Linked DNA regions of Anolis sagrei. The protein of the gene in region 1 purifies or fractionates together with the protein of each later gene. This does not show direct contact. Links are inferred from orthologs where the notes say so. Each region holds a gene or a part of one and is shown in the gene's direction. Other genes may lie near its edges.

Region 1 (7,691 bases):
AGGCCCTGTCCAGAAAAGTGGTTCTTGAAGGGCTGCTACTTTTCCTTCTGCCATACTGGCATCTGACCCAATGCAAAGCACCATCAACTAATAGCTAAGGAGATTTGGAAAGATCTGTTCAGCTTCAAAGTATTGGCCATGGGTATGTTCTAGAGCAGTACCCGTTAAGCTCTCTGATACATGGGAGTGGCAGGCTGTTTGTTTCCCAGTGTGCCAAAGACTAGCACTATATATAAGCCCATTGATTTTTTTTTCTTTCTTTCCTGGAACGTTTCTGTGGATTGACACAATTCCATAGACCACTGCTTTCAGTAGCTTTGTATTGGAAATTTTAACCATATTGACGAAAACTTGCTCAATAAGGTTCAGTTCTAGCTAGCACTTTTCATTCCTATAGGCTAGTTTTTTGTGAGTAAAACCTCTAATCTGAGCATACAATTTAGAGCTTCTCGCATGTCTGCAACAGAAAAGTCTCAATCACATCTTAAGCCAAGCATTTTATCTCAAAGGCATATAGCGTTTAAATACTTTAATGGCACCAGATTCTGTCTGATTCTGGAATCTACTTGTAAAATAAAGTAGAATCACCTCTAGTTACTACTTGGATGGGACAGCAGCAATAAATATTAGGCGCTGTAGGCTATATTTTAGGAGAAGGAACTGTCAAATGATGTCTGGATATTCCTTTCTTAAGAAAGCCCTGTGGGCTTGTTATTGAAACTATAACCCCAAAACCCACAACCAAGAGAGGTCTGACTAGATGGCCACGAAGGGTCCCACTGGCTGACATTAAAGGATAAACTTTACCACATTTACACACAGTTACACAAGCACTCCTGGAAGGGGGGGGGGGGGACGGACAGCCAGGGCTAATTTCATTACTCTTCCTGGTGGTTCAAACAATCACTTGGTGCTAATCCTTCCTGGCTAACATTGAACTCCACCTAACAATGGCCAGCCTGAAAGGTCAGCATGCTGTCTTTGTCTCTCCCTGGGTGTTTTGGCACCCATTATTTTCTATTGTGAGATCACTGACAGAATTAAAAACCATGAAAACTCATCAGTCCTGGACCTTGCCCACATTCCTTTCCTTTAAGCACCCAAAGGCGGACACGCAAAACAATCACAAGCTTCAAACTGGACAATAACAATTTAATTTCTGACAGACTGGGGAACTAGACTGAGGAACTAGTTAGACTGGGGAAGTAATCAGCTGCAGCAGCAGGCGGTGCTCCTCCACCAATCAGCACACAGATCGTAACCTATATCAATCAGCACCCGGAGCAGCAAAAGTCCATTATTTGAATTGCTGTCAAGTCTCTAATAAATGTTTCTTAGAGACATTTATGTATCTATGTATGTATCCATTGGCTTTATGTCTGATTTGGGAGCACTTCTTCCCTGACATCTACATTCGGCCAAAGTGAATAAACCTCTGGTTCTTGCCTTCACCCTGTTGAAGCAGAGCACGATTTTAGGGGGCCCTCCATGAGCAGAGGCTGGAGAGGACCCAAAAGGAGGGCTCAATAAGCCTGGGTAAACAATAAGCACCAACCAAACTTTCCCTATTTCCAAATAAATCTCACCAGGATGAAACAAGGCCACAGAAGTTTATTTTCTATTCCAGGTGGAAAGTAATCTGCCAAGAAGCCAACATGCTTTTTGGGCAGGCCAATACAGAATATATAGAACTGTCAAATCCAAATTTCCCACACCCACCCCGAGACAGCTTTGCTGTGATTGGCTCTGATGTCAGTGTAGAATATGGAAACAACATCTTTGTTTGGCCCCGAAGATCCAATCCATTATCAAAAGGTTCGGTGATATTGGTTTATTTGATAAGATCTTGGATCTTCTGGGACAGGGAATGGCTGTGACATCCCCTTCCCCTCATGGTTGGGGAAAATGTCCTTTGTGTCAAGTCATTACCATGTCCATGAGCTCCATACCTTAGGTGGTCTGGTCAAAAGACCTTCCGAAGCTCAAGGAAAAGGGGCTACTCACTCATTGTCCATGCATACCATAGGCCATGCACTTATTCAGTGGTTGTTTTGATGCTGCTGAATAGTAACTCTCCGCAAGATTCACTATGGTACTTGGGGCTGCTGGGAGTCCTTGTATGCCTTATTGTCTAATGCAGCACTGCTCCTTGTCATGGTCCAAAGGCAGGTGCTGGCTCACAAATTGCTAGGAAAGGAACAGCTGTAGTAAATGGGCACACATAAAATGCTAGTCCCTGGCTCACCTCAGACGGGTTAAGTAACACTTGTTTAATCTACCTCCTGGGAGTGTCAAGAGACCTAGATGTGACTAAACCCACTAATTTCAATAGATATTTCTTAGGCAACCAGGTGTCATCAATATTAATAACTGGCAACCTCTGATACATTAAAAATAGTGGTACAGGGAATTACACTTAACTTGATCTGCCAAACTAGCATTTTAATAACTTCTGAAGCTGGAGGAGGGTGGGTGAGTTACCTACAGAGAAAAGTATAATACTAAGCTTTCAATTAAAACACACACAAAAAGCAAACTGTCTTCAAAATGCAGTCCACATAAAGTCCAAATAGTTCAAATTGCTATCCAATTCAAAATATTATCCAAAGAAGAAGAGGTAGTCCCCCGAAAGAAGGCAACCTCAACCCGGGGATCCTTGTCACATTATAATTTATAATGTGACAGCAAGCATTATAATTTGGATAGTATTTTGAATTAGACAGCAATTCAAATGTCTTTTCTGGGGGACCCCTCCCCCCAGCACCAACTGCCGCTCTGGGCCAGAGTGAAGAGGGGGGGGGGGGGGCAGGGAACAGTTCCATCTTGTCTCCTGTGCTATGCTAATAATATAATGAAACGTAATATAATATATTGTATATATACATATAATATTTATAGTATTATAATGTAATACAATATAATAATAATATGATATTATAATTATATATTTTATATTACATGTAATATTACTAATAATATTACAATGTAATAGTATAGTACAATATAGTAATATATATAATAATAACACTTTATTTGTACCCCACTACCATCTCCCCAAGGGACTCGGTGCGGCTTACATGAGGCCGAGCCCACAATACAACAATAAACAATAATATCAACAATACAAAACAATAAATAAACTCATAAGCAAAAATAAACAATAAACATTAACAATAACACAACGTATTTAAAAACCTATGGCCCGGCCAAATTTAATAATTAAAAAATTAAAAAATAATGCTGAGCATGACAAGGTGACATGTAACTGGGATAGAAATTTTGGAGAGGGAAGAAATGTGCAGACAATCTTAAATCATTATTAAAGTGCGTTTAGGGACATATTGCTGGGAGTTTCCTTATTCTGGGAAGGCACACTGAAACAGCCACGTTTTCAGGCTCCTCCTAAAGACTGCCAGAGTTGGGGCTTGCCTAATGTCCTTGGGAAGTGAGTTCCAGAGTCGAGGGGCCACCACCGAGAAGGCTCTCTCCCTCGTCCCCACCAATCGCGCTTGCGATGGTGGTGGGAGCGTGAGCAGGGCCTCTCCAGAAGATCGAACAGATCGTGTGGGTTCGTACACAGAGATACGGTCACGCAGGTAGGCAGGTCGCAAACCGTTTAGGGCTTTGTAGATAAGCACCTGCACCTTGAATTGGGACCGGTAAATGAACGGCAGCCAATGGAGCTCCTTAAACAGGAGGGTTGACCACTCCCTGTAAGGAGCTCCAGTTAACAACCTGGCCGCCGCTCGTTGAACCAATTGAAATTACCGGGCCGTTTTCAAGGGTAGCCCCACGTAGAGTGCATTACAGTAGTCCAATCTGGAGGTGACCAGATCCGCCAATATGATACTGATATTGTACTATGCTAATAATATAATATATTGTATGTATATATATCTTGTAAACCTCTCTGAGTGTCCTTTCTGGGTGAGAAGGGCGGCATATAAATGTCGTAAATAAATAAATAATTTTCAGGCGCGGATGACTGAATCCGCGGATACACAAGGTCGCTTGCCATTAGCCGGATGCGCCTGCGCGCGCAGCTTTCCGACCTGCGTTGACTCTGGCCGCGCCCCACCAACAGGCCCTTCCCTTCCTGAGAACAGAACAGATGGGTCGCCTCTGGCTCAGACCACGCCCAGCTTTCGGCCTTGTTATTGCTTCCAGAAGGCTGTAGTGACAGCGATTGGCCAGTAGAGGCTGCGAGGGCACAAGCACGAACCAAACGTAACTTTCGGGGCTGGGAAGCCGGCGCATTCTTTGAATGGCCCTCCCCTTTTCAAGATTGGTATGCCCCGCTCCCTCGCGCTCTTCTTTCCCCGCCTCCAATCCCGCCCCTTCCATTGCACCTTTATGGGGGAGAGAGGCGAAAGAGAAGAAGGAAGGGACCTGCCGTGAAACGCCCTCAACGTCCGCCTTAACCCTGTGATTTGCCAGGGAAGAATGCGAAACGCGCTGGGATTGGCCAGGAGGCACGGCGTTTCGGTCCCGCCCATCGCTGACGGACAGGCCTGTCTGCGCGGGGCTGGAGTTGGCTTGAGGGACGGGCCCGGCGAGGAAACGGACGCGGGTAAGGAGAGGCGGCGGGGAGAACGGGGTCCAGGGGCAGGAAGGGGCCAAGACGGGTCTTTTGTAGACGGAAAGGCAGAGCTCAGGAGTCCCGGCTCCTCACGCTTCCCTCCCTCAAACCCGTAAGCTGCGTGCCTGTTCGCACATGCAGGAAACCCAGTCCCGGTTGCTTGGATACGACGACATTCGTGGGAAGGAGACCCCAGGAAGGCCTCCTTTAGTAGTCATGTTTTGCCCTGAGGGACTTCCACTTCGTTGGAGCCAAAGCCATGGTTGCTGGGTTCTTTGAATGAAGTTCTGCCTTGTCACAAAGTCACATGACACCCCCCCCCCCGCCCCAGTTGGAGTTTGTTTTCCTTTCTCTCACGCCTTTTCTTTGCCTTTCCCTCCCACTTTCAGGAAAGAGGGTTGGATGGAGTTTATAGTCCATGCTCGCACACATCACTGTCATGTATTGAAAGTTTTTGTTTATTTTATTACATGGGAAGTTTCCCTCTAGGACTAGAATTCCCAATCTTGGATCCTTCTGGTGTATTGCGACTCCCAGCATTCCTGGCTGGGAGATATCTGGGGTGTATCTACACCAAGGAATGAATGCAGTTTGACACCACTTTAACTGAAGTGGCTATTTATTTATTTACAGCATTTATATACCGCCTTTCTCATCTCTGGGGGGACTCAGAGTGTCTTTGGGCTCCTGGGAGCTGAAGCTTCACAAGGTCTTCTGCATTCTCTGTCAAAGAGCATTCATACCTCATCAAACTACAAACCCAGGATCCCATAGCATTGAGCCATAGTATTAAAGTGGTGGCAAGTGTATTACCTATATATACTCGAGTATAAGCTGACCCAAATATAAGCCAAGGCACCTGATTTTACCACAAAAACTGGGGAAACTTATTGACTGAAGTATAAGCCAAGGGCATTAAACTGCTGAGCCCCTGAACTTGCTGACCGAAAGGCTGGTTGTTCAAATCCAGGGAGCAGGGTAAGCTCCCTCTGTTAGGTCCTGCTACTGCCAACCTAGCAGTTCAAAAACATGCAAATGTGAGTGTATCAATAAGTACCACTTCTGCGGGAAGGTAACTGCGCGCCATGCAGTCATGCCGGCCACATGACCTTGGAGGCATCTATGGACAACGCTGGCTCTTTGTCTTAGAAATGGAGATGAGCACCACTCCCCAGAGTCAGACACGACTAGACTTGATGTCAGGGGAAACCTTTACCTTAAGCTAAGGGTGGGAAATGCAGCAGCCACTAGTAATTTTTTTTAAAAAGGTACAAATAAAATTACATTAATGGAGGCATCAGTAGGTTAAATGATTTTGAATACAGTATTTACATAAAACTGTAATTTAAGATAAGACTGTCCAACTCTGATTAAATCATTATTCTAACCTTATTCAATGTAAGTATGCTTACATATCCTTTTCAATAATCTCCGTAGTTTATTTTAACCATACATCTTGGGGAAAATGCTGTGTGTGTATGAATAAGGAAAAGAGGAAAAGACTGGTGCCAAGGGAGGAGGAGGGGAAGGCGCGTGCTGTGCCGAGAGAGGAGGAGAGGAAGGAGAGCTGGGTTGGTGTGCAGAGATGTGAGGGTCCTTTCAGCCCCATGCCTTCCCACTAGGACCTTCACCTGAGTATAAGCTGAGGGGGGCTTTGTCAACCTAAAAAAGGACTGAAAGACTAGGCTTATACTCGAGTATATACAGTAATTCAACAGTGTAGCTGCTCCCCCAGAGGACCAAAGTTTGGGAACCACTGGAGGATGTTTCCATATGTTTTATGGTCCTAGAGTTTTTAACAGGTAGGTCTTTTAGAGCAGACATGAGCAAACTTTGGCTCTCAAACTCCCATAATTCCAAATAGCCGGTAGACTGTTAGGAATTGTGGGAGTAGAAATCAAAACATCTGGAGGGCCAAATGTTTTTGAGTCTCCCCTTGTTCAAAATATATTTAGGTCTTTGACTGTTGCCTGTTTGCCTTGTTCTTCCTGGTACATGGTGTTTTGATGGCAGGTTTCCTCTTGGGATCTCCAGTGCAATGGGAGGGATAGTTCAGTCCTTACACTGACTTTGTTTTCCTTTTACTGTAGTGTAGGTATTGAGGGTAACCTGGTAGCAACACCCAAATGCCAAGCAACAAAGGAAGCATACTTTCCTGCTTGCTGTGTGCTATCTAATATCCTTCTACTGTGGCATTAGTGTTTTCATAGGGAGCTAAGAAACAAGGGAAAAAAATCACATGCCACTTGTATTAATCTGTTTGTTATTCTGCTTAGCCCTTTCCCCTCATTCTGCAGATACTCTGTGTTTTCTGGCACGTGTTTGGCTCTGTAAGGTGTGGTGTTGGGTATAACCAGATTTTTCTACTTAGTTTAGGTTTGCCTCGGGATTCATAGTTTGATACCCTTTTAAGTGCTATGGTATCCTAGGAGTTGTAGTTTGGTTAGGCTCCAACTCTCTTTGGCAGAGAAGGCTCAAGACCTTGTAAAACTACAACTTCCACAATTCCATTGCATTGAGCCATTTAAGTTACAGTCATGTCAGTCTGCATTAATTCTACAGTATAGCTCAGGCATGGGCAAACTTTGGCCCTACAGGTGTTTTGGACTTCAACTCCCACAATTCTGGGAGTTGAAGTCCAAAACACCTGGAGGGCCGAAGTTTGCCCATGCCTGGTATAAATACACCCAGTGTCAGAGAAAAATACACGAGGCCTAGTTGCTGTTGAACAATTGACCATTTGCTCTTCTTCAGCTGCTTCTCAGGGGTAATTTTTTTTTGTCTAAGCCCCTCCAGCATGCAATATTCTCCCACATCTACCCACTGCTTTTCAGAGATAAACTCAGCACTTGGCACATACCTAATATTTGGCAGGTTTCGTCTGTAGCCAAAGCTGTTTGAAACCTGAAAACTTGAGTTCAAATGCCAGTGATATGATGTTGGGCACTCTGAGACTTTCAGTGGCTGGTCTTTAAAAGTAAGCATGGTAATTTTTATTATTGAAAGCCCTATATGGTCTGAGTACACTTTTGTAGAGAAGTGTCACCTCTCATGATCTAGAATCATAGAATTGCAAGATACCACAAGAGCCATCCAGTCAAATACCTCCCTG
Region 2 (8,240 bases), on another chromosome or scaffold:
TCTTATATGTCGGAATATACGGTACTCACTGTGCACCTATAAAGTAAACAGGGGCAGATGAGGGCAAGAAACCCACTTGATCAAACATTATTGCTGTCATCTGTTTGCTCAAAAATGTAAAGGATGTTCACCCCCGATTCTTTTTCTGACACTGTCATAAACCTCTTCTGGATTTCAGTTTCTTCCTGAAAGAAAGCTAGACTACAAAGTGTACAATTAAGTTTGTACAGAATAAAAATTATTAGGGTTAATGGTATCTTTTCTTTAATGGACATGACTCAGAAATAATTGAACTCTTATTGCTGTATATCCAGGGAACCATTCCCCAAATGGCAAGGCCATAAATATAACCAGCAATTGTTACACATTAGTTAAATTCATACAAAGCCTCAAGTGATGGTCTGACAGTTGGATTATGACTCTGGAAAACCTGCTCAGCCGCTGAAACTCACAGAGTCACCTTGGGCAAGTTATGCTCTCTCCGCCAAAGAGGAAGGCAGGGTGGACATTATCTGAATAAATGCTGTCAAAGAAACCCCAGGACAGGGTCACCAAGAGTCCAAATTGACTTGAAGACACACAACAACAACCATTTCAAAATGTAAGCTCATTCATATATCTTGACCCAACAATGTGATGCGGCGGCAAAAAAAGCCAATGGGATTTTGGCCTGCATCAATAGGAGTATAGTATCTAGATCCAGGGAAGTCATGCTACCCCTCTTTTCTGTCATGGTTAGACCACACCTGGAATATTGTGTCCAATTCTGGGCACCACAATTCAAGAGAGATATTGACAAACTGGAATGTATCTAGGGGAAGGTGACTAAAATGATCAAGGGTCTGGAGAACAAGTCTTATGAGGAGCGGCTTAAAGAGCTGGGCATGTTTAGCCTGAAGAAGAGAAGGCTGAGAGGAGACATGGTAAGGGCCATGTATAAATACGTGAGAGGAAGTCATGGGTAGGAGGGAGCTAATAAATCATCTCGGTGGCTTCTGCTTCAACTTGGTGAGATTTATTTTGCAATATTGGCTTCTCCTTTCTCACCAGGCAATCCACAATGGCTTGGGCCTAATCCACAGCCATTCTAAATTGCTCTACAACAGTTATGTGTCTCTAAGTCAATGCCACCGCATCACATTGTTGGCTCATGTTTAACTTGTTGTCCACGAGGACCCCAAGATCTTTTTCACATATACCACTGTCGAGCCACAAGTCCCCCATTCTGTATCTTTGCATTTCATTTTTTCTGCATATCCTCACTCTCTTCCGGACTACGGCTCCCAGCATCCCCTAGACCAGGCCTTTTAGGAGAAGATGATCCAAATGCACTTCTTCCAAGATGCAAGTTTTCTTCTCCTTGGATCTCTCTGAGAGCATCCCAATCCCTGCATGTTTCCAATTTCCTATTCCTGGACTGCAACTCCCAGCAATCCTCCAGATCAGAGGTCCTCAAACTTTTTAAACAAAGGGCCAGGTCACAGTCCTTCAAACTGTTGGAGGGCCGGATTATAATTTGAAAAAAAAAATGAATGAATTCCTATGCACACTGCACATATCTTATTTATTGTGCAAAAACACTTAAAAACAATATAATAATTAAAATGAAGAACAATTTTAACAAATATAAGCTTATTAGTACTTTAATGGGAAGTGTGGGCCTGCTTTTGGCTTATGAGATAGGATTGTTGTTGTAGTTGTGTGTCTAGTCGTTTCAGACTTAGATTGACCCTGAGCGAGGGCCGGGTAAATGACCTTGGAGGGCCGTGTCCGGTCCCCGGGCCATAGTTTGAGGACCTCTGCTCCAGATCGATAAGATAAATAGATTAGATCAGTGGTTCTCAACCTTCCTAATGCCACGGTCCCTTAATACAGGTCGTCATGTTGTGGTGACCCCCAACCATAACGTTATTTTTGTTGCTACTTCATAACTGTAATTTTGCTACTGTTATGAATTGTAATGTAAATATCTGATATGCGGAATATATTTTCAGTCCCTGGACCAAATTTGGCACAAATACTCGATACGCCCAAAATTTGAATACTGGTGGGGTCGGGGAGATTGATTTTGTCATTTGGTAATGCTGGAGTTACTGGGATTTATAGTTCACCTTAAATCAAAGAGCCTTCTGAACTCCATCAATGATGGAAATGAATCAAAAATGGCACACAGAAATCCCACGACTAAGAGAAAATACTGGGAAGGTCTGGTGGACATTGACCTTGGCTTTTTGGAGTTGTAGTTCACCTACATCCAGAGAACACTGTGGACTCAAGCAATGATGGATCCGGATCAAACTTGGCACAAATACTCAATATGCCCAAATGTGAACACTGTTTGGAGAAAATAGACCTTGCCATTTGGGAGTTGTAGTTGTTGGGATTTATAGTTCATCCACAATGAAATAGTATTCTCAACCCCACCAACGATACAATTGGACCAAACTTTCCACACAGAACCCCCATGACCAACTGAAAATACTATGTTATCTGATGGTCTTTGGCGACCCCTCTGACACCCCCTCATGACCCCAACAGGGGTCCCGACCCCCAGGTTGAGAAACACTGGATTAAATAGAGATAGATAGGTAGATAGGTACATAAATCAATCAGGAGGACTGCTGGGATTTGCAGTCCAATAATAAGTAGAGAAGGAAGAAAGGGGAGAAGGAGAAGGGAAAGAAAAGGGGGGGGGGAGATGAAGAGAAGGAAGGAAAGAAAGGGAGGGAGGAAAGGAGAGAAAGAAAGGAAAGAGGGAGGGAAGGAAGGTTGGGCACAGCAACGCATAGCGGGTACAGCTAGTAAATAAATCATAGAATCATAGAATCAAAGTGTTGGAAGAGACCTCATGGGCCATCACGTCCAACCCCTGCCAAGAAGCAGGAATATTGCATTCAAATCACCCCTGACAGATGGCCATCCAGCCTTTGTTTAAAAGCTTCCAAAGGAGCCTCCACCACACTCCAGGGCAGAGAGTTCCACTGCTGAACGGCTCTCACAGTCAGGAAGTTCTGACTGTGAGAGCCGTATATGGTGAGGATGTATTGTCGGAATCACTGGGTTGTTGTAGGTTTTTCGGGCTATATGGCCATGGTCTAGAGGCATTCCCTCCTGACGTTTTGCCTGCATCTATGGCAAGCATCCTCAGAGGTAGTGAGGTCTGTTGGAACTAGGAGAAAGGGTTTATATATCTGTGGAATGACCAGGGTGAGACAAAGGACTCTTGTCTGCTGGAGCTAGGTGTGAATGTTTCAACTGACCACCTTGATTAGCATACAATGGGCTGACTGTGCCTGGAGCAAACTTTTGTTGAGAGGTAATTAGATATCCCAGCCTGCTTCCTCTCTGTTGTTGTGCTGCTGCAATTTTAGAGTTTTTCAATACTGGTAGCCAGATTTTGTTCATTTTCATGGTTTCCTCCTTTCTGTTGAAATTGTTCACATGCTTGTGGATTTCAATGGCTTCTCTGTGTAGTCTGACATGGTGGTTGTGAGAGTGGTCCAGCATTTCTGTGTTCTCAAATAAAATGCTGTGTCCAGGTTGGTTCATCAGGTGCTCTGCTATGGCTGATTTCTCTGGTTGAAGTAGTCTGCAGTGCCTTTCATGTTCCTTGATTCGTGTTTGGGCAATGCTGCGTTTGGTGGTCCCTATGTAGACATCTAATTACCTCTCAACAAAAGTTTGCTCCAGGCACAGTCAGCCCATTGTATGCTAATCAAGGTGGTCAGTTGAAACATTCATACCCTAGCTCCAGCAGACAAGAGTCATTTGTCTCACCCTGGTCATTCCACAGATATATAAACTAGGGCTGGGCAGTTTCATTTCGTTAATTCGTAATTTGTTAATAATTCATTAATTTTGTTGATTACGAAGCGATAACGAACCATTCTGGAGCAATTTTTTAAAAAAACGAATTTTTAAAGACGTTTTGTAAATGCTTCATATTTCGTTATTGTATTCGTTTCGTTATTGTTCTGAGGTCGTTTCGTTATTATTTCCGCATATCTGGGCCAGTTTTATGGTTTAATTAGTGAAAAAAAATTATAATATCACACCAACAGTCAACAACAGAGGGAGAGGGAAGCTTCAGAAGTTTTTGGAGGTTTTTTAGCGTATTTTGCGGTTGCGTCTGCCATTAACGAATCGATTCGTTATTGTTTCGGAAATCGATTCGTTATTTTTTTAGCATTTACGAAATTTCATAAATATCGAACTTTTTAAAAGGAAAATTTTGTAATTATTTTAAATATCGAAACGCAAAATCCCCCAAAAAATGAATGGATTTTAGAAACAAATTTTTCCGTTGTTACCCAGGCCTAATATAAACCCTTTTTCCTAGTTCCTCAGAACTACCTCTGAGGAGGCTTGCCATAGATGAAGGTGAAACGTCAGGAGAGAATGCCTCTAGACCAGGCATGGGGAACCTTCGGCCCTCCAGGTGTGGTGGACTTCAACTCCCACAATTCCTTGAGGCTCGGCATTTGTCCCAAAGGCTTACCTTGGCCCAAGGAATTGTCGGAGTTGAAGTCCACCACACCTGGAAGGCCGAAGGTTCCTGACCCCTGCTCTAGACCATGGCCATACAGCCCGAAAAAACCTACAACAACCCAGTGATTCCGGCCATGAAAGCCTTCGACAATACATTGTTTCTTTATTTTTACCTGCTTTTTTCTCTCCACAAGGAGACTATTATTATAATTATCTTGCCCCGTATAGGGGGCAGCCATTCTCCCCACACACCTCCCCTCCGCCTTCCCACCCTCAGGTTGAAAGTTCTCCTTGCTCCCCACTTGTGGCTATCGGGGGCGCGCGCTCTCCCTCTCCTCCCCTTGGGCGCGTGCCCTGGCGTGGCGAGGGGGCGGGGCTCTTCCTCCGGGCTTCCCCCTCCCGGCCCCTCCCCCTGCTCCTTCCCTCCCCTCTCCCTCCCTCCCCCCCCTCCCTCCCCCGTGACATCAGCGAGGAGGTCCCTGCCGCGGCCGCCCAGGGGACGCCCCCGCCTTGCCTTGCCTTGCCTCGCCTCCCTGGCGGAGAGAAAGGATGAGAGAGCCCCGGAGTTGGCTGCCTGCTTGACCCCCTGACCGCCTGCGCTGGATCTATCTGCCTTGGCCGCGCTTCTACTCCTCCACATCCGGCTGGAGAGCAGCGGAGAGGTAAGCCGCTCCGAGAGGCGCCCATGGAGTGGGGGGGGGGGGGGGTCAGTACTGAGTGCCTCCTCTCTCTCTCTCTCTCTCTCTCCCTCGCCCCCCCCCCCCCCCCCAAAGCGCCAGCCTGCAAAGCGGAATGGATCCATTGGCTGGATGCCTCCTTGAGAAGGCGCCTCGGGTGTTGGAAGGAGCCACTCCCACCACACTTTCCGAGACTTGCTGCGGGTTGCTTCTTGATGCGGATTAGTTTCCCCTCCCCAGGGCCCCCCGCTCCTGGGGTCTGTAATTGTATCGAGTTAGTGGAGACTTTCCACGGGAAAGGGAGGGGGGCTCGTTTCTCTTCGGCATGGCTTCGGGGCTTTAGGGGTGCCCCCCCCCTTCTTTGGACTCCAGGTCTGGGGGCGTCTGCTTCTCAGGCTGGGGAGTCTCCCCTCCCAAAGAATGCCGCCTGGACTTCATTCCACGGCCAGTGTAGTGCAGACCCATAGAAACACATACTTTATATGGTCTACGCCAGGCATGGGCAAACTTCGGTCCTCCCTCCAGGTGTTTTGAAGTCCAAAATACCTGGAGGGAGGGCCGAAGTTTGCCCATGCACGGCTGTTGGGAATTGTGGGAGTTGAAGTCCAAAATACCTGGAGGGAGGGCTGAAGTTTGCCCATGCACGGCTGTTAGGAATTGTGGGAGTTGAAGTCCAAAACACCTGGAGGGAGGGACGAAGTTTGCCCATGCACGGCTGTTAGGAATTGTGGGAGTTGAAGTCCAAAATACCTGGAGGGAGGGACGAAGTTTGCCCATGCACGGCTGTTAGGAATTGTGGGAGTTGAAGTCCAAAATACCTGGAGGGAGGGACGAAGTTTGCCCATGCCTGGTCTATACTGACCATATAAGGTAAAACCTTTCCCCTGACATCAAGTCCAGTCGTGTCCGACTCTGGGGGTTGGTGCTCATCTCCATTTCTAAGCCGAAGAGCCGGCATTGTCCGTAGACACCTGCAAGGTCATGTAGCTGGCCAACCTGCATGGAAGCTTTTAAACAGAGGCTGGATGGCCATCTGTCAGGGGTGATTTGAATGCAATATTCCTGCTTCTTGGCAGGGGGTTGGACTGGATGGCCCATGAGGTCTCTTCCAACTCTTTGATTCTATGATTCTATGAACACCCTTACCTTCCTGCTGGAGGTAAGGTACCTATTGATCTACTCACATTTGCATGTTTTCGAACTGCTAGGTTGGCAGAAGTTGGGGCTGACAGCGGAAGCTCACACCACTCCCCGGATTTGAACCTACAACCTTTTGGTCAACAAGTTCAGCAGCTCAGCGGTTTAACCCACTGCGCCACCGGGGGCTCCATATAGCGCAGTCCAAACTGCATTCCTTTGCAAACGTATCCCATGGCTTTTTCTTGGTCCATTTGGAGGCTTTCAATGGGAGAAGAGCAGGCGGGAAACCCTGGTTCCCTGCGAGATTTTGGAGGGTTATTGGTCGGGTTTTGCATATGGAGACACTCAGAGCGAGACTTGTTGTCACTGGCTTGGGTTAGGATCATTGGGTTGGAACCTAAGCCCCTTCCACACCACACAATTTCTGCTTTGAACTGGAATATATGGGAGTGTGGACTCAGATAACCCAGTTCAAAGCAGATATTGTGGGATTTTCTGCCTTGATATTCTGGGATATAGGGCTGTGTGCAGGCCCGTAGCCAGGATTTTGATTCGGGGGGGGGGGGGGGGGTGAGTTTGATTCTTGGGGTGGGGCTGAGTCTGGGTGAAAGAGGGTCTACCTTAGCAAACCTTTTGTATCGTTACCCCAATACACATGAGATATATTGAGCATGGTGATCAGATCATGATATTAATAAACATAACAGTTTAAATAATGTACCAGTAAGGCCTTCTCACGGACCACCATGAGAATTTGGGGGGGGGGGGGGGTGAAGCTACATGCCTGGCTGTGTGGAAGAGCCCCTAGCGGACCCTGTGAATTTGTGGGGCAAACACTAGGAAGGAGGAGGATCATAAGGTTGGAAGAGACCCCAAGGGCCATCCAATCCAACTCTCTGCCCAGCAGGAAAAGCACAATCAAAAACCCCTGACAGATGGCCACCTAGCCTCTGTTTAAAAGCCTCCAAAGAAGGAGCCCTCACCACACTGCAAAGCAGAGAGTTCCACTGTTACATAGCTCTCACAGGACGTTCTTCCTCAAGTTCAGGTGGAATCTCCTTTCCTGTAGTTTGAACCCAGTCCTAGTCTCTAAGGCAGCGGAAAGCAAGCCAGTTCCCTCTTCTTTATGAAATTCCTGGCAATCATGTCTCCTCTCAGCTTCCTCTTCTTCAGCCTAAATATCCACAGCTCTTTTAAGACACTATTCATAGCGATTTATGGTCTCCAGATCTTTCATCATTTTAGTCTGGCTGCTTTTTTATTTATTAGGTAAAATAATGCCTTGTCCATGTGCTGGGCAAAAGCACTCAGAGGATTTCCTTGCCTAAGGGAACTTGAAGGCACACGCATTGAAGCAGATCAATCCATTCAACATCCCTAGAACTGGGAGGATGCCCTGATACATTCTGACAGCCAGCATGGGATAGTGCCTTTTGGCTGTGCCTCTGGAGCAGGGGTCCCCAAACTATGGCCTAGGGCAGGGGTCCTCAAACTAAGGCCCGAGGGGTGGATACAGCCCTCCAAGGTCATTGCCTGGCCCTCGCTCAGGGTCAACTTAAGTCTGAAATTACTTGAAAGCACACAACAACAACAACAACAACAAGCAGTCCCACATTTCCCATTGAAATACCAATAAGTTTATGTTTGTTACAATTGTTCTTCATTTTAATTATTATAGTGTTTTTTCACTACAAATAAGATATGTTCAGTGTGCATAGGAATTCAGTCATGTTTTTTTAAATTATAATCCGCCCCTCCAACAGTTTGAGGGGCTGTGATCTGGCCCTCTGTTTAAAAAGTTTGAGGACCCCTGGCCTAGGGGCTGGATACGGCCCTCCAAGGTCATTTACCTGGCCCTTACTCAGGGTCAACCTAAGTCTGAAACAACTTGAAAGCACACAATAACAATCCTATCTCATCAGCCAAAAACAGGCC

The links. The genes of interacting proteins can lie anywhere in the genome.
Region 2: the proteins of GIPC1 (region 1) and SH3BP4 purify together in Homo sapiens (affinity purification with mass spectrometry; 4 studies listed by BioGRID and IntAct, with this or other methods). This does not show direct contact. The link is inferred for Anolis sagrei from reciprocal best matches to the Homo sapiens genes GIPC1 and SH3BP4.

What each region holds. Positions count from the first base shown.
Region 1 is NC_090022.1:128,028,029-128,035,719, forward strand, and holds the start of GIPC1 (PDZ domain-containing protein GIPC1), read left to right. Parts: upstream 1-4,466; 5' UTR 4,467-4,570; intron 4,571-7,691. UniProt on the Homo sapiens protein: May be involved in G protein-linked signaling.
Region 2 is NC_090021.1:161,633,023-161,641,262, forward strand, and holds the start of SH3BP4 (SH3 domain-binding protein 4), read left to right. Parts: upstream 1-4,967; 5' UTR 4,968-5,150; intron 5,151-8,240. UniProt on the Homo sapiens protein: May function in transferrin receptor internalization at the plasma membrane through a cargo-specific control of clathrin-mediated endocytosis.